4 linked regions of the Bombyx mori genome follow. The protein of the gene in region 1 interacts with the protein of each later gene in a biochemical or structural test. Links are inferred from orthologs where the notes say so. Each region holds a gene or a part of one and is shown in the gene's direction. Other genes may lie near its edges.

Evidence for each region.
Region 2: the proteins of calmodulin (region 1) and transient-receptor-potential-like protein interact in a test that uses a peptide from one of them, tested with the Drosophila melanogaster proteins (2 studies listed by BioGRID). The link is inferred for Bombyx mori from reciprocal best matches to the Drosophila melanogaster genes Cam and trpl.
Region 3: the proteins of calmodulin (region 1) and neither inactivation nor afterpotential protein C interact in a test that uses a peptide from one of them, tested with the Drosophila melanogaster proteins (2 studies listed by BioGRID, with this or other methods). The link is inferred for Bombyx mori from reciprocal best matches to the Drosophila melanogaster genes Cam and ninaC.
Region 4: the proteins of calmodulin (region 1) and GTP-binding protein Rit2 interact in a test that uses a peptide from one of them, tested with the Drosophila melanogaster proteins (2 studies listed by BioGRID, with this or other methods). The link is inferred for Bombyx mori from reciprocal best matches to the Drosophila melanogaster genes Cam and Ric.

Annotation. Positions count from the first base shown.
Region 1 is NC_085129.1:641,036-649,542, forward strand, and holds the start of calmodulin, read left to right. Parts: upstream 1-4,173; 5' UTR 4,174-4,252; coding exon 4,253-4,255; exon of another isoform or gene 4,256-4,830; coding exon of another isoform or gene 4,831-4,833; intron 4,834-7,943; exon of another isoform or gene 7,944-8,318; coding exon of another isoform or gene 8,319-8,333; intron 8,334-8,507. UniProt on the Drosophila melanogaster protein: Calmodulin mediates the control of a large number of enzymes, ion channels and other proteins by Ca(2+). Among the enzymes to be stimulated by the calmodulin-Ca(2+) complex are a number of protein kinases and phosphatases.
Region 2 is NC_085120.1:6,389,362-6,397,199, forward strand, and holds part of transient-receptor-potential-like protein, read left to right. Parts: intron 1-3,002; 5' UTR 3,003-3,055; coding exon 3,056-3,082; intron 3,083-3,750; coding exon 3,751-3,875; intron 3,876-5,502; exon of another isoform or gene 5,503-5,752; intron 5,753-6,820; coding exon 6,821-7,058; intron 7,059-7,831; coding exon 7,832-7,838. UniProt on the Drosophila melanogaster protein: A light-sensitive calcium channel that is required for inositide-mediated Ca(2+) entry in the retina during phospholipase C (PLC)-mediated phototransduction. Required for vision in the dark and in dim light. Binds calmodulin.
Region 3 is NC_085110.1:4,591,263-4,599,893, forward strand, and holds the start of neither inactivation nor afterpotential protein C, read left to right. Parts: upstream 1-3,752; 5' UTR 3,753-3,814; intron 3,815-4,332; 5' UTR 4,333-4,369; coding exon 4,370-4,660; intron 4,661-4,778; coding exon 4,779-4,883; intron 4,884-6,112; coding exon 6,113-6,492; intron 6,493-6,587; coding exon 6,588-6,678; intron 6,679-6,750; coding exon 6,751-7,032; intron 7,033-7,147; coding exon 7,148-7,536; intron 7,537-7,604; coding exon 7,605-8,153; intron 8,154-8,229; coding exon 8,230-8,522; intron 8,523-8,602; coding exon 8,603-8,631. UniProt on the Drosophila melanogaster protein: Required for photoreceptor cell function. The ninaC proteins combines putative serine/threonine-protein kinase and myosin activities. Essential for the expression and stability of the rtp protein in the photoreceptors.
Region 4 is NC_085125.1:11,327,276-11,335,567, reverse strand, and holds the start of GTP-binding protein Rit2, read left to right. Parts: upstream 1-2,738; 5' UTR 2,739-2,987; coding exon 2,988-3,129; intron 3,130-4,607; coding exon 4,608-4,681; intron 4,682-5,352; coding exon 5,353-5,547; intron 5,548-6,816; coding exon 6,817-6,957; intron 6,958-8,292. Other genes in the region: WD repeat-containing protein 91, read right to left, coding at 70-275, 800-949, 1,759-2,002.

The DNA of each region.
Region 1 (8,507 bases):
CAACCAAATGACACCTCACATGATACACGCTCACCTACTTTGAAGACACTCAAAACCTTCTTAAAGTAAATTAAGCTTCAACATGTGCTACTCTATGCACGCCTGCTAATTCCCGAAGAACGCCTTTTTATTATAATATTAGGTTTTGAAGCAAACCAGTTTTTTTTTATGGGTAAAATAAATTAAGCCGTATAACAAATTATTTTGGTTTTATTACGTAGTTATTTTAATAAAGGTTCATTGCCTTTAATTCGACGATATTTTCTTTGTCTTCCTTTCCTAAATGGTATCTACTCGTGCTTCTGTTTACAAGTCTAAGATTCCACAAAGAACCGCTATTGTCCGTAGTGTGTTGAATACTTGTGTCCTCTTCAAACATAACGTCAATATTACGAAATGTCTTTGTTCCGTCACCACTGTGCTTAAACTCATTATTGAAAATTGCTCTAATAAATAGGGAAGGGATCTGTGCTTAACCGAAATACTGAAAACAACTCAAAATAAAATCATAAAACATCTTTTTTATTTAGAATTTTTCGATGTTTCTAGCAAAAGTACAAATTTTAATGTTGAATAATGCAATTTTAATTTATAATGTAAAACATACGATAAATTAAAAATAATAAATGATTGGTGCATGTTTTTGTTCAAGATTACGTGAACACTCAGCACGTCCTGACACGTAAGATTGAAGGCTTATCTGTATTGATAGAATAACAGTACTATCCCAAACTGATAGCAATGCAAGAGTCTTATAATATTAATATAAACAAAACAAAGGATCTTTAATGAATAATCTATTTCTACCACAACCCTGTGACGTTCGTCACACATAATAAAATTAAAAGTGTAGTTTGCGCCTAAAGCAATTATTAGAACCCGAATGACACTGGCAGCCGAAACCGCACCCCACTCTCACTAATTACACTAACAAATTAATGGGATTACTCACTCAAGAACACGCCATCTAAACGTATGGCAAAACGTTTTTTTTTTAAACAACATAATTAAAATTATTATGAACCTACTTAAAACATAAAGATCGTGCATCGTTATTCGTGGCGAGTTATTTGACAGCTCCTCGTAATATTGCAAGGGCCACGCGGTGTTAGCAGCGGCCAGGCCTCATGGGCATCACAGCATACCTGCCGCCATCCACCTGTAGACGTGAAGCCTCCGTCATCAAGTATCCGTTGTATTGAATAACGGCTATCCCACACTCCCAACCGGAACACACAGTGTTTTGTGGAGGAAATGGACAGGAGGGTGGAACTAGCCCGTAGGCTCATGTTAGCTAGTAAAAATTTGTTGACGTCGACCATGAATCGAGTAAAGATATCATCGTAGTACGATAGTCGGTCAGCGGTCATGACAGTCGGATAAACACCAGCACGTACACCCCTAACAGGACGAGCGGTATAAAACCTCAGCGATCGATCAAATTAAAATTTCAACGGAATGCAATCGAACATTCCAGAATAATTCCATTTTGTTACTAATACACCAGCCGGGCCGTGAGCTCGTTCATACATCTAAACAATAAAAAATACTAGTAGAAACAAGATATACGCTTCTCTAGCATATACAATACTATATAGTTTGAACCGTATCATAGGAGTATACTAAGCCTGGAAGTGCAATAAATAGATGTACAAAATTTCAAGACCATCGATATTTTTTTTCCTACGTGTTCTAGTAGCCTCGAGGCGTTATTCTAGATTCATCCAACTAGTAGGTGAGTTCGCGGGGCTCAAGCCTGACAAGCCATCGAGTAAAAGACGCTACCTAAGGATGGAGCACAAACAACGAACATATTATTATATTATTATTTTAATATTCATTATTAATTAGATACAAATAAAAATGTAGTTGTTATGTATGTAGTACTACAATAATTAAACTATTGTATTGTATTACTGTAGTATAATTATATAATTGATAACAATAATATCATTATTGTAGTAGCATTATTTACTGTATACAAATGTGTTTTTATTATAAAGTCTTATCTAGAAAAACTATGAAAAATTTCGAATATGTTGGGTAAATTTATTTTTCATTCTGTGTTGGTATAAAAGTAAAGCATCTGATAATCCACCAGTGTGCTTAGTGCGAGCTTTTTAACTTTCTCGATAGCGTAAAAGTTAACTCAACTTTAGATGGAGTTGGAACGTATGCCGCTAGGCGCGCTATTCCAACTGCATACAAATTTGACTTAACTTTTACGCTATCGAAAACGTTAAAATACTTGCACTAAACACACAGATCGTGAGTGGTAGTCACTACTGCATTTATCGTTGCCAATATTGAAATACCAAAAATCACATTGTGAGTCCGCGCGGGTGGGTACCACCACCCTGCCTATTTCTGCCGTGAAGCAGTAATGCGTTTCGGTTTGAAGGGTGGGGCAGCCGTTGTAACTATACTTGAGACCTTAGAACTTGTATCTCAAGGTGGGTGGCGCATTTACGTTGTGGATGTCTATGGGCTCCAGTAACCACTTAACACCAGGTGGGCTGTGAGCTCGTCCACCCATCTAAGCAACAAAAAAAAAAAAAATCCAATCCTTTATTAATACATAAATATTGTATTTTAATGACAAAAACCTTACATACACGCAAAGAAACTTTAAAACAATTTACTAAAAAAAATTAATAATTAAACAAATACGAGTTAGATGATGACTTCAAGTGCGAACAAAGTATTTTAATGTTCACAATGTAAAAAGTAAATTTTAATTAAACAATGCCCACGGAGCTTGTGACAATTTAGCGGAAAACTTTCATTTTTCAATTTAGTTCTATAACTCAATCACAGATGGTAGTACTGTCATCTAAACAATGGTGATGTGTTTCTTGACTTGCATAAAATCGATACTTACAATCGACAATCGATTGTTTAATAAAATTGACAATTAATTTTTTCTCTTAAAATGAGTTAAAATTTTTAATATTATAATATTATAACTTTAAAACCATCTAATCTGAAAGGATGAAATGAACATTATTTAAATATAAGGTTTTACAGTACAGAATTCGTGATTGCCCCTTTAGCTACAAAAAATCTTTTTATGGAAATGATAAATTAAAGTTATAATCTGCATGCCTTTCATTACATTCATTTTCGTTTCTATAATATCTTCTACAATGTAATAAGAATCTCTTTGTGACTAGTACTAATCTTACGGGGTTCTTACAATGAATGCTTCATAAATATTTCCGACGTGTGTTTTTAATTACATCTCATTGCACACATTGTAAATAAAAATCCTCAAATAACAGTGTCAAGCTAGGTTTTTCTTGTATTATGTATACTGGAAATATATACACGAGACGAGAACAAATATACCTAGAGCCCCAGATGCTAAAAATATTTAAGATACTAAATCGAACCTGAAGCCTTTGTTTGATTTTTCAGGGTCAATAAACACGTAAACAATAAAGCGATCATAAACAATCTACAAGTTCATATTTTTAGTCTGCTTTTACGTATCTTTAAATAAAAGAGATTACTTTGGTAGGTACTATCATAATTCAATTGTCTATATTAATTGGTAGGAAATTATGGTAATTGTTTTTTTGTTTTTTAATTTTTTATTATTTCCGGCATTCCGATTGTGTGCGAATCATACGGAAGATGATATTGCGACAAGATAGGGCAACGTTTACTTTCAGTAGGAATGCGTGTGTGGGGGCGCGGCGTCGGGAAGCCCGTGTTATCTCGTTAGCGGCGCCTGCGGGCGGCACTGCGGCGCGGATCTGGGGCAGCGGCGCTCGGGAGCGGGCACGGGCGGGCGCCGCTCTCGCTGGCGTGGGGCTCGCGGCCGCAGTGACGCATTGCAGGTGCGCGGCGGCCAATCGGCGCGCGCCGGTTCGCGCTCTACGCCGCCGCACCCGCCCCTTATAAAACCGACTATCCTTTGCAGAGCAAATTTAATCCTGTGTTGTGCGTCCCGAAACATGGACTTGGACGTTCCGAGGATAATCATTGTGTAGACCGTTTCCGCCCTGCAGCTTGCGAAACTAACCTTCTCGTGAACGAAAGACGGATATGACAGTGCGACGAATCGAGTAGTCGATTCGGAACGATTCGCGGCCGAGCTCGATCCGAACCGCGATCCCGAGTTTCTCAGCGAGGCCACTCGCGCGAGTGAGGGCGGCAGTATCGTTTCAGCCGTCGGTCCGTGCGGTCGCTTTTGCGGCGTAGTCTGTGATTTTTTAGTGTAGCTCCAGATAATCCAAGTTAATCTACAATGGTGAGTGCTATTTCTATTGAAAGGTGTCGGGAGTGCCTTCAGAAGATCACGAGGAACAGTTTCCGGGTCGTATTTCGGAGAAGTTATGCATCGGTGTTTATAGTGATGACGGCCTCCATTATATTATTGTGATGGCCGTTTTTTTTACCGCATTGCGGATTCGAGAAGTATCAGAAGGCGTAACTGAAGCCTCACAGCGAGGCTTTCGAAATAGATAAACTTCAAAGCAGTGTTGAAAGCTTTAGATTTTGCGATATTTAAAAACGAGCCTATGCAGAAACAACGGTCGCCATAATCTAATAGGTGGTGCCGGTGAAATTACGTTCTTTAATTTGCAGTAGGCCGTTAATGTCGGTTGAAATGGCGCAGGGACGTCGTTGGAAAGAAAACAAATGGCTTTGTAGTTTGGGCATATTGTCGAAAGGCCGCGGCCGCTGTTATGAGGATCGATCGCCGGGCGCAACTGTCAAACGCTCGTTGACTCATCGTCATTATCTGATATTGTACCTACGTAAAACTCTTTTCGTTAGACCGTGTTGTTGTACATAACATATCATCTGCTGTGAAATTCCATAATGGTAACTAAACTTGTCGCTTTCATCGTCGTACGGTGCCACTTATAGTAACAATCATGTAAATAAGTTTTTGTTTATCAAACCAAAACTACAGCTGTAATTCTTTTTCTTTTTTTTTTCGAAAAAGTTTAACATGCTCTTGTTATATTTTAAAAGCTGAATTCTGGTGTCTTACACCAAAATTTCCTTTGCTTGAAGTTACAGAAATTAAGAATAAATCGACGCTTGAAAGGCAAACTTGACTAAGCGACTATAACTGCTTTGTACATAAATGATAAGCAATAACCATATTCAGTGCGCAACGAAAAATAAATTTGTAGGTCTATTAAAATCATTTCAATCATACAGCTAGATTCATTAAAATAAATTTTGTTTTCAGGTATTTCAACTTTAAATTAGTCTACTGTAAAGTTCACGCATTATCGCTTAGTCACGTTTGCCTTTCAAGCTTCGATATGAATACTTGAAATCACAAGGATCGGTGTAGTCCCTATTGCCTACAGTATTACAGTTTGTTCCTGACTAAATCCCTAGCCATTATTTTTTCTATTTTATTTCAGCGGAGAATACTCATACTCGTGTTTAAAAAAATTCATTGAAAGTTTTTTGCCAGTAAAATAATGGGGATTGGGTATGTGGGGTATAATGGTGATATTTTCCCTGCAGCCATTCAAAGTTTTTGTTATGATTTATTTATTGTTCTAAGTTCGCAGATCATGGCTATGAATGTATATAAATTCATACAGAAAGAATCTGCTTTTTAATCTTATTCTAATCTTTAACTATTTTTTTACATCCATTGTTCTAGTAATAACTGTGCTACTCAATAAAATGAAGTCATGAAATGTTAGCTTGAGTATAATAAATAATAAACTGGTGGTAAACATTGATAAATGCTAAATATGCATTCTCAACTAAGGATAAACTTGGTATAATTAAGTTAATATATTATTATAACACCTAAAGTGTAAACATATGTTTAAGTTAAATATTTTTGTATATATCTGAAATTATATTTTTTTCTAATGTGTTTGAAAATCCAAGGAGTTGAGATTAATCTGAAGCTCAATTTAATTGAGTTGGGAAAAAGAAAATATGAAAGAGTTTAGCACATTCTATCATACATTATGAGAACCATTGTTAGCACCTATTGGTATAATTAATAGAGGTCTTTCAATGTGTCGAGGCTTAGCGGAGGCATTCTCATACAACTCTCCAGTTAATATGTAGGACATTGTGGGCTGTAAGCTATGTTTCTCACTACATTAGAATATCTGATAATACAAATCATGTAAAAAGGGCAATATATGTGCAATATTCTTTTCTAAAATAGCTAAGGCCAAATTATCCATATTTAAATAAATGTTCAAGTGACATGATAGTGTAATATTTACCTACTAACTACAATTGGAACTAAAATTAAGATAATAAATTCTTGTGGCCCTGTCAAATGTAGCTTAAGCGATTCTTAGGCTAACATCATTTTGGTACCCTCCGATAGTGCTTAAAGAGACTATTCACATCTAATAAAAAAGAATCCATTAAGCATGTTTATGTATTAAAATTAATTTATTAAAAAGGGAGTGATATTTCAGCTCAAATGATTATTGTCTCTAACAAGCTGAATCTAAATAATAATTCAACATTAAAAAGTGTAGTTGTATCGGAATTGTACAAAAAATGTTAATTTATGCCTCATACATTTGTGTTCCTACGTTGAATCATAACTTAGGTATTTCATACCTATTGCCTACTGTGTAGAATACAACATAGTTATATCAAGTAATATTAGTTTTATTTTTACTGTGTCAATGTGAACAAGTTAGTGACTGTGCATCACTATATTTTTTAGATTTATTTGTTTAGTTATTCATGTTATTGATAACTAAAACATAGTTAAATTAAAAATATATTGCTCTTAGTACAGTAGTATCCCATTTAAGCGGCCGTGAATTCGAGATTGGACATACATGGAGCTTCTTGATTTTCCTGGAAAAAAACTGGCTCTTAGCAATGTGTCTATATTTGAATTTTGCTTGGCACTTGCTTTTCGCCCACAGACCATGACTTGACTAATCATCAAACTTTCGGCCCACAACAACCAAATTTTTTTATTATTATTGCTTAGATGGGTGGACGAGCTCACAGCCCACCTGGCGTTAAGTAGTTACTGGAGCCCATAGACATCCACAACGTAAATGCGCCACCCACCTTGAGATATAAGTTCTAAGGTCTCAATTATAGTTACAACGGCTGCCCCACCCTTCAAACCGAAACGCATTACTGCTTCACGGCAGAAATAGGCAGAGTGGTGGTACCCACCCGCGCGGACTCACAAGAGGTCCTACCACCAGTAATAAATAAAAATAGTAGTAAACTGTCAATACTTTGATGGTGGGGTATTTTCTAAATCCGCCTATACGCGGTTCTATCATCGTGTGCATATTTCTAATGTTAAATAATCTTGCATTGCGTTTTAAATAGTCGATATGTGTTAGTTCAAAGTAACTAGGACTTAAATCTTGTTTCATCCGTGTGTGGATTCAGTAACCGCTTAAATTCTCTCTACCCATTATGAGGGATAAAATGCAGAGGTTTCAATTGTATTGATCGATTCCAAACGAACGCATTAGTGCTTCGCTTCGTTGTTGAGATAACACTATAACTTTACATATTGGTATAGGCCTACAATACTCTCTACTTCCACTAATTACTTAGGTAAGTAAGGCTGTTCTCAGTACACCTCAAGAATGCCAGGCGCCTAGTCGAATGGCAGTTGGCCGTGAAGTACTTTAAGTGCTGTACAATACAGCCGTGCATTATTCGGATCAATTAAACATGAATCAGCGGATCTATATGTTGAATACGTTTCAAAATGATATTGTTATCAAAATAAACTTTAAAGAGACTATTCTGCCTGAGAGTATGATTATATTTTATGTACATGCAAAACATGTACAAGTGTTAGTTTATACGACAAAAGTTGTAATTTTAATGGTATGATTGAAATGTGCGGTCGTGGAACATCATAATATATATCTTACCGAGACTAATCGCATAATTATTTCAAATAATATTTTTCATAAGGCTTACTTCCATGTAGGCTCGGATCCAAATGTTTGATAACAACATTTTGTGCCAAATGAGGTTATTTTGCAATTTCAGGAATCTATTTGAATCAAACTTTATCGGAACTTGTGGATCCACGATTGTGGCTTGTGCCATCGTATTACTAATTATAGCGCGAAACGATTTAGGCTAAATTATAAATTCGGTCTAAAAAGTTTATATCAATAACAATAAACATTATCGCAAGCCATAATGATAAATGTTCCAATGCAGTATGTTATATTTATCTGTGCCGCATTGTGACGTGTCAGTTTGAGTAGGTAATTATACATAATCTCTGCCTGGTATCTTATCGGCAGAGTTTTGTTGGCACTTTGCCAGTCTGCCTGCCGGTCTTCTGTTGCGAATCCTCGTCTACTATGGTCGTCATGGCTGTACGTATAGGCTTCTGCTTGACAGTTTTTTTTAATGTCCTTTACTGTGGCGTTGAATCATGCAGTTCTTTTTTTTAATTTGATTCAATTGAGGTTTTGTGATTGAATGTTTTGTAAAGTTGTGTTTTTTTTCAGTTAGGAAGTGGCTGCCTTCAATTTGCGATAGATTTTTAC
Region 2 (7,838 bases), on another chromosome or scaffold:
CTCAAATAAAACGCGAAAAAAAAGAGAATGTTAAAATACAAAATGGCATTATTTGAATTATTTTCAATTATAAAAGATCAATTTTCTTGACCTTGACCTTGAACTTCAAATATTTCATTTCTTTATGTATATTAACATGGGCATATTATTCGTGATAGCATTTACGTGTTAAGTTGATATTCTCTGCTTTTTTTTTCGGGCCGGGGTCCTAACCTCATATGAGGTCCCCGCGCCTAGGGGGGGCGCGGGGTCTGTGGAACTTGACGATCTGCAAGGTGGCGAGAGCAGACCGCGGGCCCAAAGAATTTTAGGGCCCTACCGCACTAAACGACTCCCCTACACTCTTACACCCGACGTCCGATCTCCGTCCGGGGTCAGAACCCGGTTAGAGTAGAGGAGCTCCCGCGGTCAACACTAGAACCAGACTTGCGGCGGCACCCCGAGGACGCCCGACCGACAGGTCGTCGACGACCAACGACGCCGGTCTCCGCGGTACGGCGATATTCTCCGCTAACTCAATAACCGTATTCAATTTTAAATTTAACTTACTTGCTAAAACATAGGAGACATTGAATGTTCCACGCTATTTAAATATTTTAGCGGGAAATCGCTTGTCAATTACTTTTCAACAACGTTAAAATTCCATGTTTGGAAAAAAAATGAAAAATTGGGAAATCGGAGGCTTTCCTTATATCAGCTTTTTATCGTAATCGCGTTTCTCTTCTTCTTGAAGCCTATGAAAGTTGGTTCTCGTCAACGACCACTGAGCAAAAGTTTGCTAGGTAAGTAGGACGACTGGGTATTACTGGGGCAAAGACATCTAGTACCTCCAGTTTCGATAACCTAATCAAATTACAAGCTGACGACTGTGAGGTAATCGGCATGTCATAAAGGATTATTGCCTTTGCGAGGCTTCAGTTTACGAACGGCCTCCCTGTGTAGGTTTCTAGCAAAATTGTTTTAAATTCCAAGTCAGAATGAACAATTAGGTAATTATCACGATTTTATATGCCTTATCAGGGTTATTCTGTAATTAAATATGAGTAAGTAAGCTTTCTAGGGCTGTTGTATCTGAAGGATAAAAATAATTGGACGCATCGGGAATTCGAAAAATACACTTCAAGTTAAGTAAATGTGAAAATGAGTAGGTACTACAATCATATCTTTTTCTGCCGCGAATTAGTCATTTGGGTTTGAAGGCTGGGACAGCTATTATGCAAATCAACCTCATGTCTCGTAATGAGGTGTGAAATTCACGGTGTGGTATTTAACCATTTAACACCTGTCGGCCGTGAGCTGGTTGACCACGAAATAAAAATAAGACATGCCTCTTCCTTCACTTCCCTCTAGAAAACCAATAGACCTTTGTCCAACAGTGTGAAACTTTAACAGTAATTCATCATCATCATAGTCTGTACTCTTGGCAGAGCAGTCATAGTCATGTGGAATCCTTGTTTATTAAAGCCTTGAAAGTTGTTCTTCATAGTTCGCGAACTGAGGCTTGAGGCACGCACTCATTATGTAAGGTTTTGGTAAGGATTTTCACTTGATAAGTCCAGTGCATTAGGCCAGGGCTTAATCACGAGATCTTTTTCCGTTGACCCTACCCTTAACATTTAACATTATATAATAATATATAATAATAATAGCTAGTAGTCTAATAATAATATATGTATAGCTAGCTATACTTAGTCTGGCCATAAATACTGTTACAATTAAAAATAAACAAAATGTTACATTTGAATTTGGAATCTGTCATTTTTATATGATTGCTTATTGAGTTTTCTCATTTTGGCGCCAATACATTGCACAATATTTTGCCATATTAAAATGGAGTGGGGTGATAAGGAGAACCGAATCGCTGTGATTGCATTACACAAAGTAGGTATGGAGCCAAATGCAATTTTTAAAACTCTCCATACGCTTGGTATTAGTAAAATGTTTGTGTACCGGGCTATTAATAGGTGCAATAAGACCTCCTCTGTTTGTGACAGAAAAAAATCTTGCCGTCCACGTATTGTTCGTACGAAAAAGGTGGTCAAACAGTAAGGGAAAGAATTCGAAGAAATCCTGTCCGAAAGCAAAAGATTTTATCTCGGGAGATGAAGATAGCACCTAGGTGCGTTCTAGAACCATGTCGCGTGTTTTAAAAGATGACTTAGGACTTGCAGCCTATAAAAGACGTACTGGTCATTTCTTAACTGATAATTTAAAAGAGAATAGGGTGGTAAAAACGAAACAACTACCAGCAAGACGCGGCGCCAGCTCATAAAGATCGGTCTACACAGTCTTGGTTGGAAACGAACGTTTCGGACTTCATCAGAGCTGAAGACTGGCCGTCGTCTAGTCCCGATCTTAATCCGCTGGATTATGATTTATGATCAATTTTAGAGAGTACGGCTTGCTCTAAACGCCATAATAATTTGGAGTCCCTAAAACAATCCGTACGATTGGCAGTGAAAAATTTTCCCATGGAAAGAGTGCGTGCTTCTATTGATAACTGGCCTCAACGTTTAAAGGACTGTATTGCAGCCAATGGAGACCACTTCGAATAAGCTTTTTATACTTTAAATTGTTTTATATTTATGTATTAAACGAACACACTGTAAAAGTAATAAATGTTTTTGCAATAGATTTTTTTTTCCTTTGTCTCAGTATTTATAGCAAGACTAGGTAATCGATACGTAAATCGCGCAACATTCGCGCTTCTACAATTTCATGTAAGAATTATACAATGTAATAAATATAAAAAAATATGCAATCAACTCTAAACTTAAAACTAAAAACCTTACAAAATAACAATAATAATAATAATTTAATATATTACTAAAGGGACTCTCCCTTTAGGCAAGATTCCGAAGATACTGACAGCGTTGCCCTTTTGAATAGCTAGACTAATTCTTTGTCCAAGGTAGCTGCTAGTAATATATTATATTAATATAATATAATAATTAATAAAAAAGAAGGGAGATAGTATTTAACATTACTTAAATACATGACAGATCGCCTGGGGGACGGACGCTGCTTCGGCGACCACTCGAAGTAAACCATCAAAATGGCCGAGAAGAAGGATTTGGAAGCCGTAAGTAATAAAACAAATATCTTTTTAAACCAATACAACACCCGACTTACTCGTATCGAGCGATGTTTGTGTGGATACCAATTCTTCTAACAAGATATTCATCTAGAATGTGCTACGAACAAGTTCCGGAAATTTTACACAGTTTAATTGATTACAGAATATGTTAGAGGAAGTCTGAAAGTGGCACCTGTGACAGAGAAGCTGAGGAGTACGCGTTTGGGATGATATGGACATGTGATGAGACAAAATGAAAATGAGGTTGGTAAGAGAGTATTAACTATGAATGTGGAAGGATATAGAGGAAGAGGTAGACCTAAGAAGAAATTGATAGATTGTGTGAAAGATGATATGGGTAAGAGGGGAGTGAACGAAGAAATGATATATGATAGAAGAGTATGGAAGGAAAAAACATGTTGCGCCGACCCCAGGTGACTGGGAGAAGGGCAGGATAATGATGATGAATGATGAAGTTCGATTTTCCTTCCTTTTATTGTAACTATTTTGGTTAACAATAGACTTCGGCTTGTAAAAATTATTGTCAACCAAAAACTTCATGAGGTCGTAGTTTTATAGAACATTCTACTTCAAATCACTAGGGTTGTGGATTATAATAATCCGTAATAAACTAGACGCGCCTTAATATGCTTTTAATATGAAATATGTGATAGGGCGACCCTGAATTGGAATGCGTCCGGAAACCAATGCCGTTACCGGTGCTCCCAAAACCACTTACTTTGGAAGAAAAGAAGTATTTGCTGGCAGTCGAGAGAGGAGATATGGCAAATGTGAGAAGGTTAGGTCAAATCAATATTTTTAGTTTAAAATTTTTTTCTACGTCTCAACGGTGACAGCTCTGAATGTGGTGCTAACTATTTATCAGAATCCCAAAGAAACGAATCTCTTGGAAATAGAAAATGAACCACTATAAATAAACTCCCATCGCTGTTTGTCTCTGACAACCCAAAATTCTATATTAACATTATATAGATAGCCCTGTCTTTTACATTTTCACTCCCAAACCGTTGAAGTGATCTTCATGAAACTCCGTGTGGAAAACAGCTTTAATGCTGGGAAACAATATTTAGGCTACCTATGATACTCTTGTTCAATATGAATCTCACCCGTGCGACATAAATCACAAATCACGGGAACGTATCTTCGGGAAAGGTAGTTCTTGATAAATACGTAGGTACGTGTGGTCATTTTCTTGGCGATCTTTCAAGACCTCAGTCACCTTATTCAGACAATATCCGCATCGCAATATATCACTTGTTCAGTTCATTCAATCAGTAGTAATGGAGAGACATTTACGATTTTGATTACTTTATGCGACTTAGACTTTAAATATTTGTTTCAATTAACGAATAATACTTCTAATACGAGAAGTTAGAAAACAAATGCATTAAAAATTCGTTTTATTTGAACATTAATGCTAACGTAAATTGTTTCTAGTAATAAGCTTTACGGATTATTTTAATCCAATTGTTTGAATCAAATGTAATAAAATTAGTCCAAGTTAGTAGTTATGTTAAAAGCCAAGATTCAACAACAACGTGTACCTAGAAACTATATAATTTAACTGGCTGCTACCCGCGGCTTCGTTCGCGTGGTCAAGGGAAATGTCAGTGTAGTTTCCCGTAGGAGTTAGATGTTTTTTCGGGATAAAAATAGCCTATGTCACTGACGTGACTTATAGCTATTACTTTTAGAAATCATATCAATCTCTTGCTTCGTTCATTGCGAAACTAGATGATTTTTTTGATAACGCCATCCTGTTGTGTCTTTAAAGCGGTTAGTTGCCCTCAATTAAGAAAAATAGTATTATTATTCACCAATAGATGTCGGGAAGAGTTGATTATTGAAAACACGAATAAAACAACATTTTCTGAAAATAAATCGTAGCTAGATCGATTTATCGCCCCCGAAATCCCCTGTATACTAAATTTTATGAAAATCGTTGGAGCCGTTTCCGAGATTCAGATTATATACAAATTGCTCGTTTAAATGTATAAAATAAAGGTATAAGATAACAACAAATAAACACACTTTGTTTTTAATGCTTAGATGTGTGGACGAGCTCACAGCCCACCTGGTGTTAAGTGGTTACTGGAGCCCATAGACATCTACAACGTAAATGCGCCACACACCTTGAGATATAGTTCTAAGGTCTCAGTATAGTCACAACGGCTGCCCCACCCTTCAAACCGAAACGCATTACTGCTTCACGGCAGAAATAGGCGGGGTGGTGGTACCCACCCGCGTGGACTCACAAGAGGTCCTACCACCAGTAAAACACACTTTCGTTTACATTTACACTTACGTAAAACTATTTTAATTTCGTTGGTTTAATCTCGTTTTTTTTTGTCATTTAATTATTTCTGACGTTTTGAATATATAACAGTTGACGTAGTCACGACCAAGACACAAGTCGTCACTTTAAGTCGACTTTTGAAAATTGTTTTTTTTTCCTATCTGTTCGCTGGTAACTTAAGGGGCTATTCCAGCTACTCACGAACGAGTAGATGAGCTCACAGGCTCAAACTGAAAGAATTTGTAACACTACTCCTATCAAGAGCAGTGCGTCGCAGAATATACCACCGAAACGGAATCGCGACCCACTGAGAAGATCTAGCGCGAAACTCATTGGACTTGAATAACATAGTAATTAAAGTATGACACTGACATTTTTGTCGCCATTTAAAAAAAAATCGATTAACTAATTTAACTACTAACAATTTTAACTTAAGATATTACGAAATGTTCATAAGTTTGATTTCATTCAGCTTCTACAGTATACGTGAGGAGATACCCTACTACCCTATTATTGGCCAGTAAATCCTTGGACAAACAAAAAACAGAAAAGAAAAGCAATTTTCTAAAAAAATCTTACGTTGCCGATTGAAACCGTCATTCAATTACTTTCAAAAGACAAAAATAAACAATCGTGTATTACCGTCGATCTCTTTTTAATTAAATCGACCTTGTACGAAAATATTTCGAGAAAACGTCTTTGGCCTTAAGTTTTAATGGTATTTTCTTTAACGCCTATATTTTTAACTGTGAATCCTAAAATGAACACACGTTTGTCACCTTCGCCTTCGGCTCGGGTCGTAGTTTTACACGCGGTAGGAAATGTCCAACTTTTCTCCCTTGGTGCACATACTATTTTTTCTCCTATCAGGCCGAAAGTTCGTGGAGTACTGAGCCGGGGTCCAGGGGCGAAGCCCTGGCAGGGGTAGGGGGGGCGGAGCCCCCCGACTCATAAAAAAACAATTTAACTGTTTTTTAATTTTTAAATTAACTACTAATAATTAAATAAGAACTGTCGATGAACTCATCTTTGTTTAATACTTCACTATTAAATTTTATTGCCTTTTGTTTATTTCACTTTTATACTAAACACAATATTGCAAATTACCCGAGCACAACAATGGAGGAGAATTTTAGATGCGTGAGAGCAGACGTAGACACTAACGCGCATGCGCACTTGTACCCAGGAAGAAAAAGTAACACTTTCTTTCCTGTACAGCAGGAGGAAAACCGAACTTTCGGCGTAGGTAGGAGAATAAAAAATTATCCGTGTAGCTGGCCTTTTGATTTTATGTTGATATCGTCTAATTTACATATTATATTTCTATTGTACATATTATATTATGCATATAAATTTCAAACTATTATAATATATTTTTTATATAATTATGTATTTTGATTGCTTTAAAATGATTTTGTTTTACACAGATTACTCCAAAAAGGCCACCGCAAAAAACACATCGACATCAATTGCGTAGACTCTCTCGGTCGCGGGGCTTTGACCTTGTCAATTGACGGGGAGAACTTAGAGATGGTGGAACTCCTCGTCATCATGGGAGTGGAAACAAGAGACGCTTTGCTGCAAGCAATCAACGCGGAGTTTGTTGAAGCAGTTGAATTGTTACTAGAGCATGAAGAGTTAATTCACAAAGACGGTGAACCATACGTAAGACCGATATATTGTACATATGAATTTTATTATTTCTTAAAAAAAATTTTTTTTGTCGCTCATTACCCGCACTGAAAAATAAAATTTAAAATTTCCATAGTTATAGTTGCTACAGCTAAATTACATATGTAATCAATCAATCAGTCTGCTTTTAAAATTACAAGTACTGCAAAATAAATTTTAATTATTTTAACAGAAACTACATCTTGCCAATCAAAGTTTCTAATATTGAAATATGTTCTAATACGTGATAATAACTCCTGATTATCCAACAAAGCTAGAATGTCAGCTTAAAAATTGGGGAACCTGTCATCGCAATATCTTACATATTATGTATCTTAAGTTGGACATCTGCGTTGTTACTGAAATGGCTTACAAAACTCGTGGCTTTAAATGATTTGTGATATTTAGTTGTAAGTGATTTCCGGAACTCAAACACCACATGATTCATGCCCAAATTGAAATAGATGGTCGAAGTGTCTATACAATAATCAGTATGAAATTACGGTTATCCTCTTATTCAAACGGTGGTATAAGAACGTTCTGTAAAACTAAACAGGCAGTTAGTCTACCGAACAAAAACACCCGGTCGATAAAAGATTTCATGTCTGAAGTAATTTACTATTGACTGATAGAATTGTGATTTTCACACTAAGCTGTTACTGCATCACCAACATAATCTACCGCAGCTCTGACAGTCACTACGTCCACTGAAATACTGGTACTTATTATTACCATTTATAACGTACTAATTATAAATCCATTTATAGAGCTGGC
Region 3 (8,631 bases), on another chromosome or scaffold:
GCTCACGGGCTCAACCTGAGAGAATTTGCTAACACTAGCCCTAGCAAGAGCAGTGCTTCGCGTAATCTACTACTGGATAGGAATCGTGACCCTCTGAGAAGATCCGGCGAGAAACTCAGTGGGCCGTGTCTATGGGAATAAACATTAGCCAACACTAAGCTGATATTCCCCGCTTGTCAACAACAAACTATTTTCCGCTACGTAATGGGTGCCGTAAATATACTATCTTCAAAATTGACGTTAAATCAATTAGTGAGCGCTAAGTATTTATTTATTTATAGATGGGTGAACATGCTTACGGCCCGCCTGATGTGAAGTACTTACCAGAGCTGATAGACATAACTATACTTGAGACCTTACAACTTATATCGCAAGGTGGGTGGCGCATTTACGTTGTAGAAGTCCATGGGCTCCAGTAACCACTTAACACCAGGTGGGCCCTGAGCTCGTCCACCCATCTAAGCTATAAAAAAAAAACAAAAAAAAATGAGTGTCTCCACCCACCTTGATACATGATGCTTAAGTATCAAATAAATAATTATAGCGGTTGCATCATTTAAGTAACACATGACCGAATCGCCGTGTATAGATATGAAAGAGGGATATCGATCCTAATCCTCAAACGACTCAATACGAAAATCAATTAATCAAATGAATCAAAAGTATTTTATTCAATTAAGCTATTTATAGGGGCTTTTAATTCATGCAGTTTCAATACTGAGAAGGATCGACAAGAGACTTATTACTATTACTGGTGGTAGGACCTCTTTTGAGTTCGCATGGGTAGGTACCACCGCCCTGCTTATTTCTGAGGTGAAGCAGTAATGCGTTTCGGTTTGAAGGGTGGGGCAGCCGAGGTAACTATACTTGAGACCTTAGAACTTATATCTCAAGGTGGGTGGCGCATTTACATTCTAAGTATGTTCTAAGTATGTATATTCTACAGTATATGGGCTCCAGTAACCACTTAACACCAGGTGGGCTGTGAGCTCGTCCACCCATCTAAGCAATAAAAAAATATAAAAAAAGACTCATAGCCTCTATGTTTTTTTAAAAGAAATGTTAAAAATGTAAACAGATTTTTGTTATATTATTAAATCAGCACAAGTCACACCTTTAGAATTATAGAGACACAACCCAAGAAATGTGTTTTTTGGAAAACATCGATTTTCAAACCTACAAAAGACGTAGAGGAAGAGGACGGAGTGAAAGAGACCGATGAATAGCTTTCTTTGTCCCTTTTTAAGCTGATAGTGGTGATTTGGGTATTATGAGTCGATGAGAAAGGTTGTTATAGGTCCATTTTTAATTAAAATTTAAATACAAAAATTTCAAACTGCGTTTCTGTAATTCTAAAAGTACGTATGGACTTTACCGAGTGCTGGCGTATAACAAAAACACTGCACTTATTCAAAGAAATACTTCAAGCCGTCTGTCTAGAAGCGCACTAAATGTTTGGTAGCAACTTCATTATTATTCCGCTTAATTTGACTCATTGAGTTGAGTGCCTCTGGTATACTACTTCATCGCTTCGTGTTATAAGTCAAGCAATATTTGAAGAACTTTTATGGCTACCTTAACTTATTTTTCGGAATTAAATAAAATGCAACTTATTTTCGGGAGGACTGTTATTTTGTTAAATGCATGAATGTTATAGTAAGTTTTCCAATAGAGCGTTAGAATAATAATCCGAATTAATAATAAAATACCACATCTATTTATAAGCTGGTGGTAGGACCTCTTGGGAGTCCGCACGGGTAGGTACCACCACCCCACCTATTTCCGCCGTGAAGCAGTAATGCGTTTCGGTTCGAAGGGTGAGGTAGCCGTTGTAACTATACTGAGACCTTAGAACTTACATCTCAAAGTGGGTGGCGCATTTACGTGGTAGGTGTCTATGGGCTCCAGTAACCACTTAACACCAGGTGGGCTGTGAGCTCGTCCACTCAGCTAAGCAATAAAAAAAAATAAAAACTTCATAAGCTGCCTTTTATTATATTTTCTGCTTTTAAAATGCTTTATTGAGAAATAAAAGAGTTTTTTTTCATAAAATAAATAACGCTACAATCACCTTAATTTTGTACAGTAGTAATGTTTTGATGTGTTTAAATTTATTAGTTTTTTGTTAATTCGGCTCGTACGCAATGATGTATCTTTGAATTCAATAAACATTTTTAATTATTTTTGCATTTTTTTATGTATCGCTTAGATGGGTGAACGAGCTCACAGACCACCTGGTGTTAAGTGGTTACTGGTGCCCATCGACATCTACACCGTAAATGCGCCATCCATCTTGAGATATAAGTTCTACGGCCTCAGTATAGTTACAACGGTTGCCCCACCCTTCAAACCGAAACGCATTACTGTTCACGGCAGATATGGGCGGGGTGGTGGTACCTACCCGTGCGGACTCACAAGAGGTCCTACCACCAATAAGAACCATCATGAAACTTGACAATTCAGTGTTCTTCTCACGACAGTATCATTCAAAGACAGATACATTATGTTAGAGCATGTGCAGAAAAGGAAAAGTAGAGAACAGTTGGAGGCTGTTGATATGATGGTGTTCTGATGACGTCAAAGAAACCAGAGACTGACATACCAGGGGCTGTCAGGCGAGCATAGTTACTTCTGACCTGAACTGGAAGAATACGTGTTGATCATTGTATTATCGTCGTCTTGCAGAAACGACATTTAGGACCAAGGGCGGATCCAGCTTTGGCGCCAGGAGGGGGTCACATAGTCGTGGGCATGTTAAGAACTTATAATTTAATTTTGATAACAATAGATAATAATTAAATCATGATGTTCTTCAATTAGTCCAAGTTAGTTCAAGTCGTGGAACTAGCTCAGGGGGGGGGGTCATGACCCCCATGACCCCCCACTGGATCCGCCGTTGTTTAGGACCGACGCAGAGAAATTGAAATTGTACATAAATAACTGTACAAAATAGGCTTAAGAATTTTTGTAACGCATTCGGCTTGGCTACAATAAGCAAAAATCTAATCCATCTTAAAATGTAAAGAACCATTTGAAGTATGCCTTCAAGCGTAGTTATTGGTCTGATGAATGGATTACATTAGAATGACGGGTGTCCCGGATAGCACGGCATCGTAAGCAAATTCAATTGGTATGGCATTTCACGTCATGAGCAAACATATATATAGAAACAAGTTGCGTTTTTTTCTTAATTTTGTTTTCGGAATCAGATTCAGTAGAATTCAAGTACGTTTTTTTATAAACTTGCTGAATAAATTGCACTACACGTGAAGCGTTTAAGACGAAGGTTCGAGAACTGTTTCTCAGAGAGTTAGCATAATCATCTAATTGATAATATTTGTTTATATATATATATTTATTTAAGTAGGAGTATTTGTATCTATAAATATTTTGTATGTTACATATACACATATGTTTAATATCACCTTCACCCTACACCTACCAAGGTTCATCTCTGCACTCCCCTAAGGTAGACTGTTAGAGAATGCCTATGGCATTAAGTCCGCCTTTATACTTTCTAGTATATGAAGTTATAAATAAATAAAAATAAATAAATCAAATTGAAACCTTTGTTAAAATCTAATAGAAAAACAATTAATTCGCTTAGATCGGATTACGAAGTACGAAATGGAACTCCAATTATGAGTAATTAGACGATACGGAGGTCACAGTGCCCTAATAACATTATGAGATTAGGCTCGTTCCTAATTTACGAAGCCCCTGCACTTATGCGAGTTCGGAACGTGGTTGCCCACTTGTTCTTGTGGAAGGAGTTCAGGCTAGACGTGTTAGTCTGCTGTGGTCTGCTGCAACCGTAAGTATTTTTTTATTGTTATCATCAGCTCGAGAATCTAACGGTTCCCGGAATCTAGACCACCTCGAGACATAGTTAAAATCTAAATTTCATTAGAATAACAAACAATAGATGGAAAACTCTCTATATTAAGAAAGAGATGTCATATGCAAGGGTAACTAGTTTGTTTGTGGAAATAAATTAAAAACTCTATAAAGCTTTTTTTTAAATCGGGTTAAAAATTCAGAACCTCAAACATTGATCCAAAGAAATTTTAACTCTTTATACTCGCATTACCTTTACAGGTTAGTGTGGACACATACAAAAATAACTAGAACATTAATGTAGGTAGCGGTCCAATTGTTTTAAATTGATTAAGCTACTATTTTGATAAAAGTTCAAATTTCAACAACAAATTCAAGATGTTTATGATCTTATTCTGCTAACAATAAATAATCCGTTGTATCTTAGATTTATTTAGATTTTTATATTGACGTTACCTTCGAGGACTTGTTTTTAATTTTTAGCACCATTTTCAGAGATATTCTGCAAAGGTATCTTCATGCGCCATCCAAAATGAAAGACGGTCTCAACTTATCGTCCTTGCAAAATCCTTTGGAACGTTACAAACTAGACACTAAACTAGGTTCTGGCATATTTGGGGTAGTTTACAAGGCTACCGATACACAGGCGGCTGGAAAATCCGTTGCTGTTAAAATACAAAAATATACCGATAAAAATGAGGCACACATTCAAAAGGAATACAAAATACTTCGAGATTTCACTACTCATCTTAATCTTATCGACTTTTACGGAGTGTTCTGCGAGAGAGTCGATAATATAAACAAAATATGGTTTGTTCTTGAAGTGAGTTTTACATATTTAATATTAAACAACAAGTCACATTACTTTGAATAATAATCAGAATAAAATTTTAGATAACAAGTTATATAAAGAATTAATCGACTTTATCTTGTCTTTTAAGCTGTGCGAAAACGGATCGGTCATCGATATTGTCAGAAAGCTGAATACGGCAGAAAGAAAAATGTCCGAAGAACACATAGCTTACATCTTAAAATATACAATAAAGGTAAGACCATATATGAATGACTATAAACATGTCCCTCGTCACATTCTACTCGAGATGGCTGTTTACAAAACAAAGGGCCTGCCAGTCCAGCTTTCAACCGTTGAATCAATTGGGGGTACTTTGAATGCAAACTCAATTGTTCTCGGATTTGTGTCCCGAAGGTTTATGTTGGCCTCGTGACGTCAAGTAAAATATTGCCCTCCGATCATCCGCGTACATTGAAATACAATCTACAGCCATTATTTAAAATGCATGCCGCTTTATTTGATGTGATTGGCGACGGAACAGTCGAAGTTGTCGATGCGAATGTCGGAGAACGCCCGACAACACCGTGATGGCCCCCCATCGCGGCGCATCGCTCAATTATCGTAAATAATGCTCGCACACACAAGATATACGGACCTCTATCGCAGTAGCCGATGATCTCTTTAACTACTATCTGCTTGTGGATTTCCTTCCCTATGCACAAGGCGTAAAGGTTTGTTGTTACCGACGTCTCTGGCTCTAATGTTTTTGGATACCGTTAAACGCGCATTATCTTTATGCAAGCCACTTGGCCTGCAATACTGATGCTCGGTTTCGTTCGAAAGATCCTTGTCGTATATCTAGGCACGTTACATCTCTCGTGAGTTCTTGATTTTTAGGTAACAAAAGTGGAAGCTTTTTGAAAATGCATTAATTACTTTGATATTTTTTCGTTTCAAACTGGGTATCCGATTTTTTTCTAAATAATGATTAATGACTCGTTTACAATTCTGATACTAATTCGTATTTTAAGTAGTTTTCTCGATTCGTAACATTTATCACATTCACTCACGTTTCTGTTGGGTAATTGATTCATCACAGTACTTACGGGTACTCTAAACAAGTGACAAGATATCGGCGTATCGTCTACAATTAGACCACATAGTAGAATTTAATGTTGAGAAAAAGACGAGCGACCACCTCCCTGAGAACACCGAGAGGTAAATAATCGTAATGAACGCATTAAGAAAACTGATACATCAGACTTGAGGGCTCCGACATGCCGCCACTGACAGCGCTCTGGAGCGATACATATGCAAATAAGCTCAATGAATACGAGGGGCGTTCACCACTTGACTGACGCTGACATTAGTATCGCCAACCTGTCTCGGCCAGGGTATGGGGGGCGGTCGGTCAATCACTTCAATGTCCGACGGGTGTCGACTTCTCCGATTGTCTTAATCAATCTTTGTATCGATCTCTAGGCCCTCGTTTATCTGCACGAGAACAAAGTGATGCATCGGAACATAAGGTGTAGCAATATTTTAATCACAAAAGACGGTGAAGTTAAACTGTCTGATTTTGGACTGTCGTGTAAATTAAGCGGAACACTTGATAAGAGTAAAACGAATGTTGGTTCTCCGAGTTGGATGGCGCCCGAAGTGGTGACTGGCGGAGACGACGGTTACGGCAACAGGGTCGACGTTTGGGCCTTGGGCATAACTACTATAGAGATGGCAGACGGAAAAGCCCCTTACCAGGACATGCATCCGACACGCGCATTGTTTCAAATAGTAAGATGCCCTCCGCCGACCATTTCGAAGCCTTCAATGTGGTCGAACGATATCAACGATTTCATTTCTGAGTAAGTAGCTGCTAACTAATTTGATTCCTTGATTTGTTAAGTTTGCGGCGATACGCGAAATTTAGAGTGACCACAATGTAAGCAACTGTTTTAAGGTGTCTCGAAAAAAATCCGGAACATCGACCTTTCATAATGGAACTGGAAGAGCATCCGTTTATTCTGTCCGTTCCTGAGAACGATTATCACGTGAGTCAATGACCTCAGTTTGGCTTTTAAGGTACTGGAAATAGAAATTATTTAAGACAATCTTTCTCACAGCTCTCAACAGAATTGAAGATACTCGCGAAAGAACTAAGTGGCAAGGTATCGCCAGATAAAACACCAGAACGGATAATAAGAGATGGCTTATTGACAACTGAAGGGAACCCTGAAGCCGAAACGATGCAAGTTGAGGATCTTGCCGCTCTAGAAATATTGACTGAGGAAAACTTACTCAATGAGTTGCAAATAAAATTGATGAAAGGTTCATTTATGTCTTTCGTCGGTGACATTCTACTTATTCTCAACCCCAACACCGATGATGATATTTATAACGAAAACGTAAGAACTCCTTTCCGATATCAAATAAAGACTTCAAAATTACGTTACTTAGTTGATGTTGAAATTCACATCTACATAAAAATCACATTTGAAATTCCCATTTTGTTTTCTACAGCATCACAAGAAGTATGAGTGCAAATCAAGATCAGATAATGAGCCGCACATATTCGCGGTAGCCGATGGCGCTTACCAAGACGCACTTCATCATAACGAACCACAGCACATCGTGTTCTCTGGAGAAAGCAAATCCGGCAAAACTACGAACATGTTACACGCTCTGTCACATTTGACTCATTTAGGAGCGATGAAGAATAACACAGCAGATAGAATTCGTAAAGCAACTAGTATTATCCAAGCAGCTATTTCTGCCGCTACACCCATAAATGCACATTGCACCAGGGGTATTTTTCAAGTTCAAGTGACATACGGAAGCTCGGGAAAACTGAGCGGCGCTATCTTTTGGTTGTATCAATTAGAAAAGTGGCGAATCTCATCAACAGACATGTAGGTTACGGTCGGTAAGTAGATTGGTAAATTTTGTGATTTAAACTCACAATTTTTTAACGTTCCAGGACCCACGCTAACTTCGACTTAATTTATTATTTCTACGATGCGATGGAAGCGGGAAATCGATTAGATGAACTCTGTTTAGACAAAAACAGAAAACATAGATACTTACGGATATCAGATGAACCTGAAAAAGAATTAAAAGGCGTTAGAGAAAGTGTCGAAAATAACGTTCAAAATTATAAAAATATCATTGAGAACCTCACCGCAGTCGATTGGGAAGAAGAGGACATAGGATTTTTTGAAACAGTTTTAGCGTCGATTTTAGTTCTCGGTAATGTCAGATTCAAAGAAGGAAGGAATGGTTCAACCGAAATTGAAAATCCGGAGGAGGCTAAGAGGGTAGCGAAGCTATTGTCACTGGATGAAACAAAATTCCTTTGGGCTTTATTAAATTACTGTCTTATCGAAAGCGGGACTGCAGTAAAAAGAAAACATACTACAGATGAAGCGAGAGATGCTAGGGACACATTAGCAGGCACTTTATATAAAAGACTCATTGACTGGATGATAAATTTAATTAATTCGAAACTCTCCTTTATGAGATCTGTCTTGTAAGTAATCTTAATCTCTTATTAACATTTCCAGTTCACGTTTTCTAACATACATTAACACAATGTTCTGTTATAGTGGTGATAAATATTCAGTCAGCTTATTGGATATGTTCGGTTTTGAATGCTATCACAGAAATCGACTAGAGCAATTGATAGTAAATACAACAAATGAACAAATACAGTTCCTTTATAACCAAAGAATTTTCGCTTGGGAAATGCAAGAAGCCACAGAAGAAGGTATCGCAATGCCAGAACTAAGATTTTATGACAACAAAAATTCTGTGGATCAACTCATGGGCAGACCTTTAGGCTTGTTTTATGTATTGGACGAAGCGAGTAGAACTAGTAGTGGACAGGAATTCATCATGAGTAAGTAAAAATCCCATTAATGCTGTTATTATACGTAAGTTGAAAACTATACCAAACTTTGCTTTCACGTATCGCTCTAGGTACAATAAGGACAACGTGTAAAGGACCG
Region 4 (8,292 bases), on another chromosome or scaffold:
ATGATAGGATGATCATAGTGTATGATGATTCAGTAATGACATCAATTACCTTTTTAATTAATCAATTACCTTTCCACTGACCGCAGCTAACTTATCCTGTAGTTTTTTTACAAGTATTGCATCACTTTCATAGCTTGTTAGTGTTGGTTGTGGCATACATTGGAACACTGTTGCCAGTAAATTGTGAAGAGATACCAGCACACTGTCCTGCCATGCTCTAGTGAAATACAAACTAAATGAGGGATTTTCTTCCGGTTTCTGGATGTAGGGGAACGCTGAAAAATAATGCTTGTATATTTTAGATGTAAATTACAGAGAAATTTATGTTGGAATATGAAGAAATATTTTTGTATGAGATAAAACTTTATTCATAGGATTCCTAATTAATAAATGCATAATTTTTAATATTGAGCTCAGAGGACCATAAAGCATGGTAGGGCCAAAAGGAAAAAAAAATTGTGTCAGATACATAGACATTGCTGAGACACGAAAAACGTACGACAGTATAATATTATTTTACGATAATAATAGTAAGGGGAGATGAATATGCTAAGTTACTATTATAATTGATTTTATAAATTAAAATTTCAAACAAAGTAAGTTTCGAATATCATTAATAGCAAATTGTACTGGTTGATACCAATAAAATATAAAATGGCCCTGACGGGCTTGCTTTACGATTATTTTACGATACAGAAATCTTCTTCCCTCTTAAGCAGATGATGATATATGGCTGCATTACTATTAATATATTAATGAATAATTTATTGTATCAAATAATTATTATATGAAATCTTACTGAACCACTCCTTCCATTCATTCTGTCCTTGTAATTCTGGCAACATTTTATTAAAGAAATCTGTTATCTTTTCATTTCTTATTAAACTGGTATTCTGTGCAGCTGTCACTAAGTACAGTTTATATAAACTATATTCTAACTTGCGAATAGCTGAAATAAAATTACTAAATAAGTATTTAATAGAACTTCATTTTGGTGCAAGCTATAGGTCCTGATTGATCTTACTTGGGATCTTAGACTATACAAAGTATGATATTGCAGACACCAATATTATCTACTCTAAAAGAAATTGGGCAGCACAGATGCTCTGCATAGTTATTTATTTATTTATTTATTTTTCATGCAATATGGTATCGCTCAGTAGAGCAGGAACTGGGCATCTTGGGCATGATGTGGGAAGAGCTAGAACAGACTGCCTAAGACCAATGCAAATGGAAGAATTTGATTTGAGCACTACACCCCAGCAGAGGGTAATAAAAAAAAGAAGAAGAATATAGTAGAAGAATATTGCACAGGTTTTCTTAGCAACGTAATGCACAGCAATGTCTAACTAAAATTATTATGTTTATAATTATCTTTTAATAAAGGCCAACTAAATACAATATTATCTGTGTTCTTAATATTACGTACAGCAATGAAAATATTTATGCTAAATTTGCTCTAGAGACAACTATTTAATTTTATAACTTTCACTTTTGTACTATACTGGAAGAGTCTTACATATTTCATAATAAGCATAAGTTAATTAGATTACTGTACTGTATTGTAGTTTAAAAATTGACTTAGGACTCATGTCTCAAGGTGGGTGGAAGCATTGACGCGTTTGATGTCTCTGAGCCCCGGTGACCACTTAACACCGGGTGGGCTGTGAGCTCGGCCACTCGTCTAAGCAACAAAAATAAAATTGTACATTTGTTGTGTCCTACAAGTATTCTTAAACTTTATGAAAGGGCACTCACCAGGTTGTACGTGTATTTCTAATTTCGTAAAAATTAAAGAATCTAAATGTGACCAATATTCCTTTAAGCCGTTGAGATCGGAAACATTAATGAAATGCATAATTTGTTCAATAATTTTGTCAACTCTAAAGCCTTTGTCTTTGTCAGCTTTTAAATCGTTATCAAATGCTTTTAGAGTACTTGCAAAACCTCTAAACAATAAATATTCTCTGACCAACTCGTCCACGAATTGTACATGTGCCATATTTTGACCTAAGCCCGATATTCCTATAAAATTTAAGTAAATGAATCGAATAGTACTGTAGGAAATTAATAAACATGAATAATATTATTAAAAATAAATTACAAACAGTAAGCAGCTGTTTTTGACACCAAAGTTCTGTCTGTGAGTCACAATTTCTTCTCTTGTTAAGTAGACAATGGGAACCTCATCCATACAGTGTAATCTTGGGCTTCAAAGCGAAAGGCATGCTATTGCATGAAAAGGGAAAGAATAAAATTAATTAAATCTAATTAAATAAACTGAGATAAGAAAATACCATATATGTTCGATGAGATGAACTATGATAACGTCTCAGCAAAACGCTAGCAAGTAACCGAGTAGAAGTCCTCTGAACTTTTGTTTCATATTCCCAATTTTGTACACTTTCATACATCCTAAAAGGCTGATGAGAAACCATTAGTACACTTTTAAATAAAGCTTTCCAAATAACAAATAAAAATATTCGACATATTAAACAGAAATTGTAAATTGTATGCATCTCACTGAAAAGTAGGCTAGCATTTTGTTCTAATTTTTTTACGATTAAGTATCTCTTTTGCGGTATCATCATTAAGAGTTTAGAGTTTCGGCATTGTTATATGATGAAAATATTTAAGCCGTCATTTTCAAATCCTATAGAAAAAAAACAAAAAATCATTAATCATTCATGTCAATCAATGACAATCAGAGATAAAAAACAATGACAATTAAATGTCAATTGTAAATTTGTCAAAGTCAATTGCTCCCAATTTTCAATCAGCTGTCGGTTTTGTCGTGATAAATGACTAGTAACAAAATTAAACAAAATGCGTTGTGGTGAATGAAAGTGTATTTGTTCCGTGGGCTGCTGGTCGAATAGCTAAGCTTCAGAGCGTTAGTTGTATCGCGGGCTGCTCTATGCGGTGTGCGATGGCGTTGCGTGGGGAGTAGGGGCGGGCGCGGTTCGGAGGAGCAGGCATGCGGCGGTATGGCGGGCGAGGCTGCGGGCACGTCGCGAGGGTTGCGCGTATACAAGATCGTGGTACTGGGCGACGGCGGGGTCGGCAAGTCTGCGGTCACACTCCAGTTCGTCAGCCACAGTTTTTTGGACTACCATGACCCAACCATAGGTATTAGCGAAAATAACAAAAATAATCAATATCCATTAAATAACAAAAAAATTCAAGGGCTTTAGTGATCAGTTTAAGAAATTGCAAATTAAACAGTCACCAGTCTCTATTGTTAATATACTTATTAATATAAGGTTACTATGTAATGTGATTGCTAAAAAAATTTATTCCAGATAAAGGCCAGCAAAAACTTTAATTATTATGTAAAAAAATAGTTTTTCCTTGCCGTCAATGAGTTGATGCGTGTTTACATAGTATGAAATACAGCCCCATATTAATGTAGCTACCATGTTATATTGACTATTCTTTATGCACCATTTAGAGGCCATCTACCATTTGAACTGGAATGCATGATTGTTTCATTGCAATAATAGACAGCATGTTAGCTTATGTCATACCACCTCAATACATTTTCTGTATGTGGCATATGTCATAGCACCAATCACTTCAGTATCTCACCATTCAAGTTGATTTTCAACTATTTTAATAATATACTAGAACACTAGTGTAATATTTGGTTGCCCTTATTTTAAACAGAGAACATGAACAAATTTCACTGGGAGAGATAGTTTAATTCGTACTAAACTTAAAAAAATGCCAAATGTTCATTTTTTTAATTTCAGACTTAAAGTGAAAATGTTAGACACTCTATTTAATTATCCTCTGTTATAATAGTAATAATAATAGAGAACGAGACATCCAGACATCTGGCCTCAAACTAAAATTATGTGTACTATGGGAAATTGAGATGATTTTTATTCTATACAGTACGCTGTCGTAAGACATTCGACCGTAGTTTTGAGTACTTAAATTTAAGTTTCAATAATACACATATAGATAATACACACAAAGACATCATACATAATATATTAAATACATACAACTATAATAGAAATTGTAATTTTATATGAAAAAAAAGGAGTAGAAAGGATAATGAGCACCTTAAATATTTTAAGTTGAATACACTGTTAAAAAAACGAATCAAAGTACTGTGCACAGCGACATCAATAGATAAATACATTTTATAATAATACTCATGCTACTAAAATTTTTTTGTCACTGAATATGTTTTGTGTATCTACTGGAAAAACTATACAGTGTAAACTCTATGTAATGTCACTCAATTTAATGACAAATTCATAAAATGTTGAAACCACTTGGCTTTGGTTGGTTAAGCTGGCCTTCCATATAATGAAACAGTCTCTATAGAATTATACCCATTTTCAATAACCACAAAATTAGTAATTAAAATAAAGTAATTATAGAAGTTTTGGAAGCAGCTAAATTATTGGGAATGTACTTCTTTTATCACCAAGATGCCTCAATATTGCAAGATATAAATGCCAGTAGGTAAAAAATGTCACAAAATTACTGTTGCAGTCCATTCAGTGTTGTTGTATAGGGCTTACACTGTAAAAGTTTTGTAACACTGTAAAATTGTTATTTAAAATAATTTTAAATATTACTGTGATTCTCAGAGGACTCCTATCAACAACAAGCAGTAATTGATGGAGAACCAGCACTGCTGGACATTCTGGATACAGCTGGTCAGGTAATTACAATTTCTATTACCAAACACATATTATGACATAGTTTAATTACTTTTCTTTTACCACGACACTAAGAATTGCTTTGAAACAATATATCAATATCTCATTTGTATCTCTGTATTTGTATCTATAAATAATGATATTTAAACATAAGAATATTATAATATAGAATAATGTAATAATATCAAAATATATAAATTTCGAAGTCGGCGTGGCTTAAAGCATAAGACGTATGGTGCATTCCTATCTAGCAATGCAACAGTGTTTGAATACCGCAGGCAAGTGCGAATTTTCCTATTGAAATATATTACATATTTAACAAATGTTCACAATTTACTTCCTCAGTGGACGAATAACATCGTGTAATAAAAATCAAACCTGCAAATTTACAATTTGCATAGTTACTGGTGGCAGGACGTCTTATAAGTCCGCACGGGTAGGTACCACCGCGCTGCCTATTTCTGCCGTGAAGAAGTAATGCGTTTCGGTTTGAAGGGTGGGGTAGCCGTTGTAACTATACTGAGACCTTAGAACTTATATCTCAAGGTGGGTGGCGCATTTACGTTGCGGATGTCCATGGGCTCCAGTAACCACTTAACACCAGGTGGGCTGTGAGCTCGTCCACCCATCTAAGCAATAAAAAAAAGCCAATAAAAGCGTATTAAAAACCCAGGTGGAGTTCACTGCGATGCGGGAGCAGTACATGCGTTGCGGGGAAGGCTTTGTGCTGTGCTACTCGGTGACGGACCGGCGATCGTTCCGCGCTGCCGCCGAGTACAGGAGGCTGCTGGCGCAGGCGCGTCCCTCCGAGAGGCTCCCACTCGTGCTGGTTGGAAACAAACTTGACCTAGCTCCGAGACTTAGACAGGTGAATATTAAATATCCACGTATTATACACGTATTATTCACGTATTATCCGCGTATTATCCACGTATTATCCACGTATTATCCACGTATTATCCACGTGTTATTCATGTATTATCCACGTATTGTCCACGTATTATCCACGTATTATCTACGTATTATCCACGTATTATCCATGTATTATCCACGTATTACCCACGTATATTATGTACGTAGAAACTTTGTAAAACGTTGTTTTTTTTCGCTTAATACGCGACATTTATTTTAGTAATTAAAGATTCGTTTCATTTGGTATTAGCAAAAAAAATTGGATGTTTTTAATTGAACTTTATTTAACCCCTTCATTGCGGAACAGGCCCATCTTGAATTCCGCGGTACTTTCAGCTAGTGCGGACCGATTATTTCAAGTTTTTGTTAGAATTCGACAACTATATACTACAAATTGTATACAGTATGTTTACACAAAGTTTATAGCATTTTAATCTACCTTAGTGCTGGTGGGTTGAGAAAGACCTACCAGGCACTGGTGGGAATATCGTTGGGGCCGCATCGACCCGCCAACGACCCCATTGAAGGTTTATGATTTTACTGGCCGCAGCCAACGTGTTAAGTTTACTCCATTCAGATAGTTGACGAAGTTGTTTTTTTTAGTTTTTTTTCAAAATTTTCGTTTTTTAAATGGCTCTCCTGTAAAGTTCAAAAAATGTCGCTGAAACTGAATTGCCTTTCAAACCTTGATATACTATCGATATCGGTATTGAAACGTAAGAAAGAGACCGTAAAAGTAATTTTAATGTTGGCAATTATTTAGGAATAATATTGCACCTAGCACGTACAGAGACTTTTTGGCGGGAACGCGAGGAGTGAAGTTGTGTGATTTGTTTTGTTTTGTCTATTTAGTGTTTCTTCAGGTTTCAATGTGTAATAACGGTGGTTTATTAACTGTTTAGTAGCTGTGAAAGTGCACGAATGTGGGAAAATGAAACAAAGCTGCTGGACGTAACAAAAAGTCCACTGAAAAAATCTCAGTAAATGACCACCATTTTACTGAGATTACATTTCATCCCATATCGTCTCGTCTTATTTCATTTAATTTCAATTGATTAATGGCTCAAACTAATAATTTTCATTTCATTTAATTTCACTCCATATTATCATTTTTCATAAAAATAAGAATATAAATTAAAATAAAACACGACCTAAAGGTCTTAGTTACCAGGTCATAAAGTCCCTTAAAAAAAGCACGGGCAAAAAACAAATTGTTTATGTTAAGGTAACGACCGAGGAAGGCAAGGAGCTGGCCACACAGCTGGGGTGTCCGTTCTACGAGACTTCGGCGGCGCTAAGGCACTTCGTCGATGACGCATTCCACGCACTCGTCCGAGAGATACGGCGCCTAGAGAGACAGAGACAGGTGAATCCTTTTTTTTTTTCGTACCTAATCTGTTGGCCTTGAGAGGCCATTTCAGCGTAACCCTAACAACTAGGTGAGTTCACGGGGCTCAAACCTGACGACGTTGATAACACTAACCCTAGCAAGAGCCGTGCTTTGCAGAATCTACCATCGTATCGGAAACGCGACCCACTGAGAAGATCCGGCGAGAAACTCAGTGGGCTATGTCTATGGGTTAGTTTACTCAGTGCTTGAGGTACCTAAAAGCACCGTTATTGGATCAAGAGGATCCGAAATGACGTGTTTTGGGCGACGTCGACTGTTTACAATTCGGTCCGCAGGATCGGTAATGTGAATCGATAATTAACTCGTTGGGTGACAATGGTGAAATTTATCTCGTGTTTTCTTTATTATATCGAGGGCTGAAGACTATTTGGTTTAAGCGACATTTAGCTTAATACGCGACATTTTTCTTTGTAATTAAAGGTGCGTTTTAGTTGGGATTACCATCAATAGTTCGATGTTTTTAGAATAGAAGCTAGAATAAAACTGAGGGAGGTATTCGAAAACATGATAAATATCGAGGGGTGAAAGGCTATTTGATTCAAGCGACATTTTTGCAAATTTTAGTCTTTAAACCATTTAAAGATTAAAATTTAGAAAAACTATCATAACAAAAGAGATATTTGAATGTGTTAAGCTTAATCGAAGTTCAATTAAAAACACCGAGTTGTTGATGCTAATACCAAATAAAACGGACCTTTAATTGCAAAGATAAATTTACGCTGATGTCGCGTATTAAGCGAAATGTCGCTAGCTTTACACACCTCTATATATTATATGTATCTATATCTATCTATACTAATATATAAATAAAGTGGTTTTTACAGATGTTCCGTTATAACTACTGAACCATGCATCCGGTTGATTTGAAACTTGGTATCCATGTCGAAAATACATGTACATAATGGATAGGCTAATATTTATATGAATGTTGGACTCCTTAATAATAATGACAATAAATAATAATGTTAATTTTAAATGCCCAGCGGAGCGGGCAAGTACAGCTAGTGTACATATAGTACAGCTGTGTTTTATACCGTATGGTCCATGGGGAATGCTCTGAGGAATTATTCGAGATGATCGCCTCATCTTCTTTTTATCATCGCACCTCCCGCCATCGGAGCAGAGTTCATACATATGGAACCACTGCGTTCATCGACAGTGCGTTTCCAAAGATCTTTTCTGCCACGTACCATCCGGCTTTGGAATGAACTCCCCTCCACGGTGTTTTCCGAGCGCTATGACATGTCCTTCTTTAAAAGAGGCTTGTGGAGAGTATTAAGCGTTAGGCAG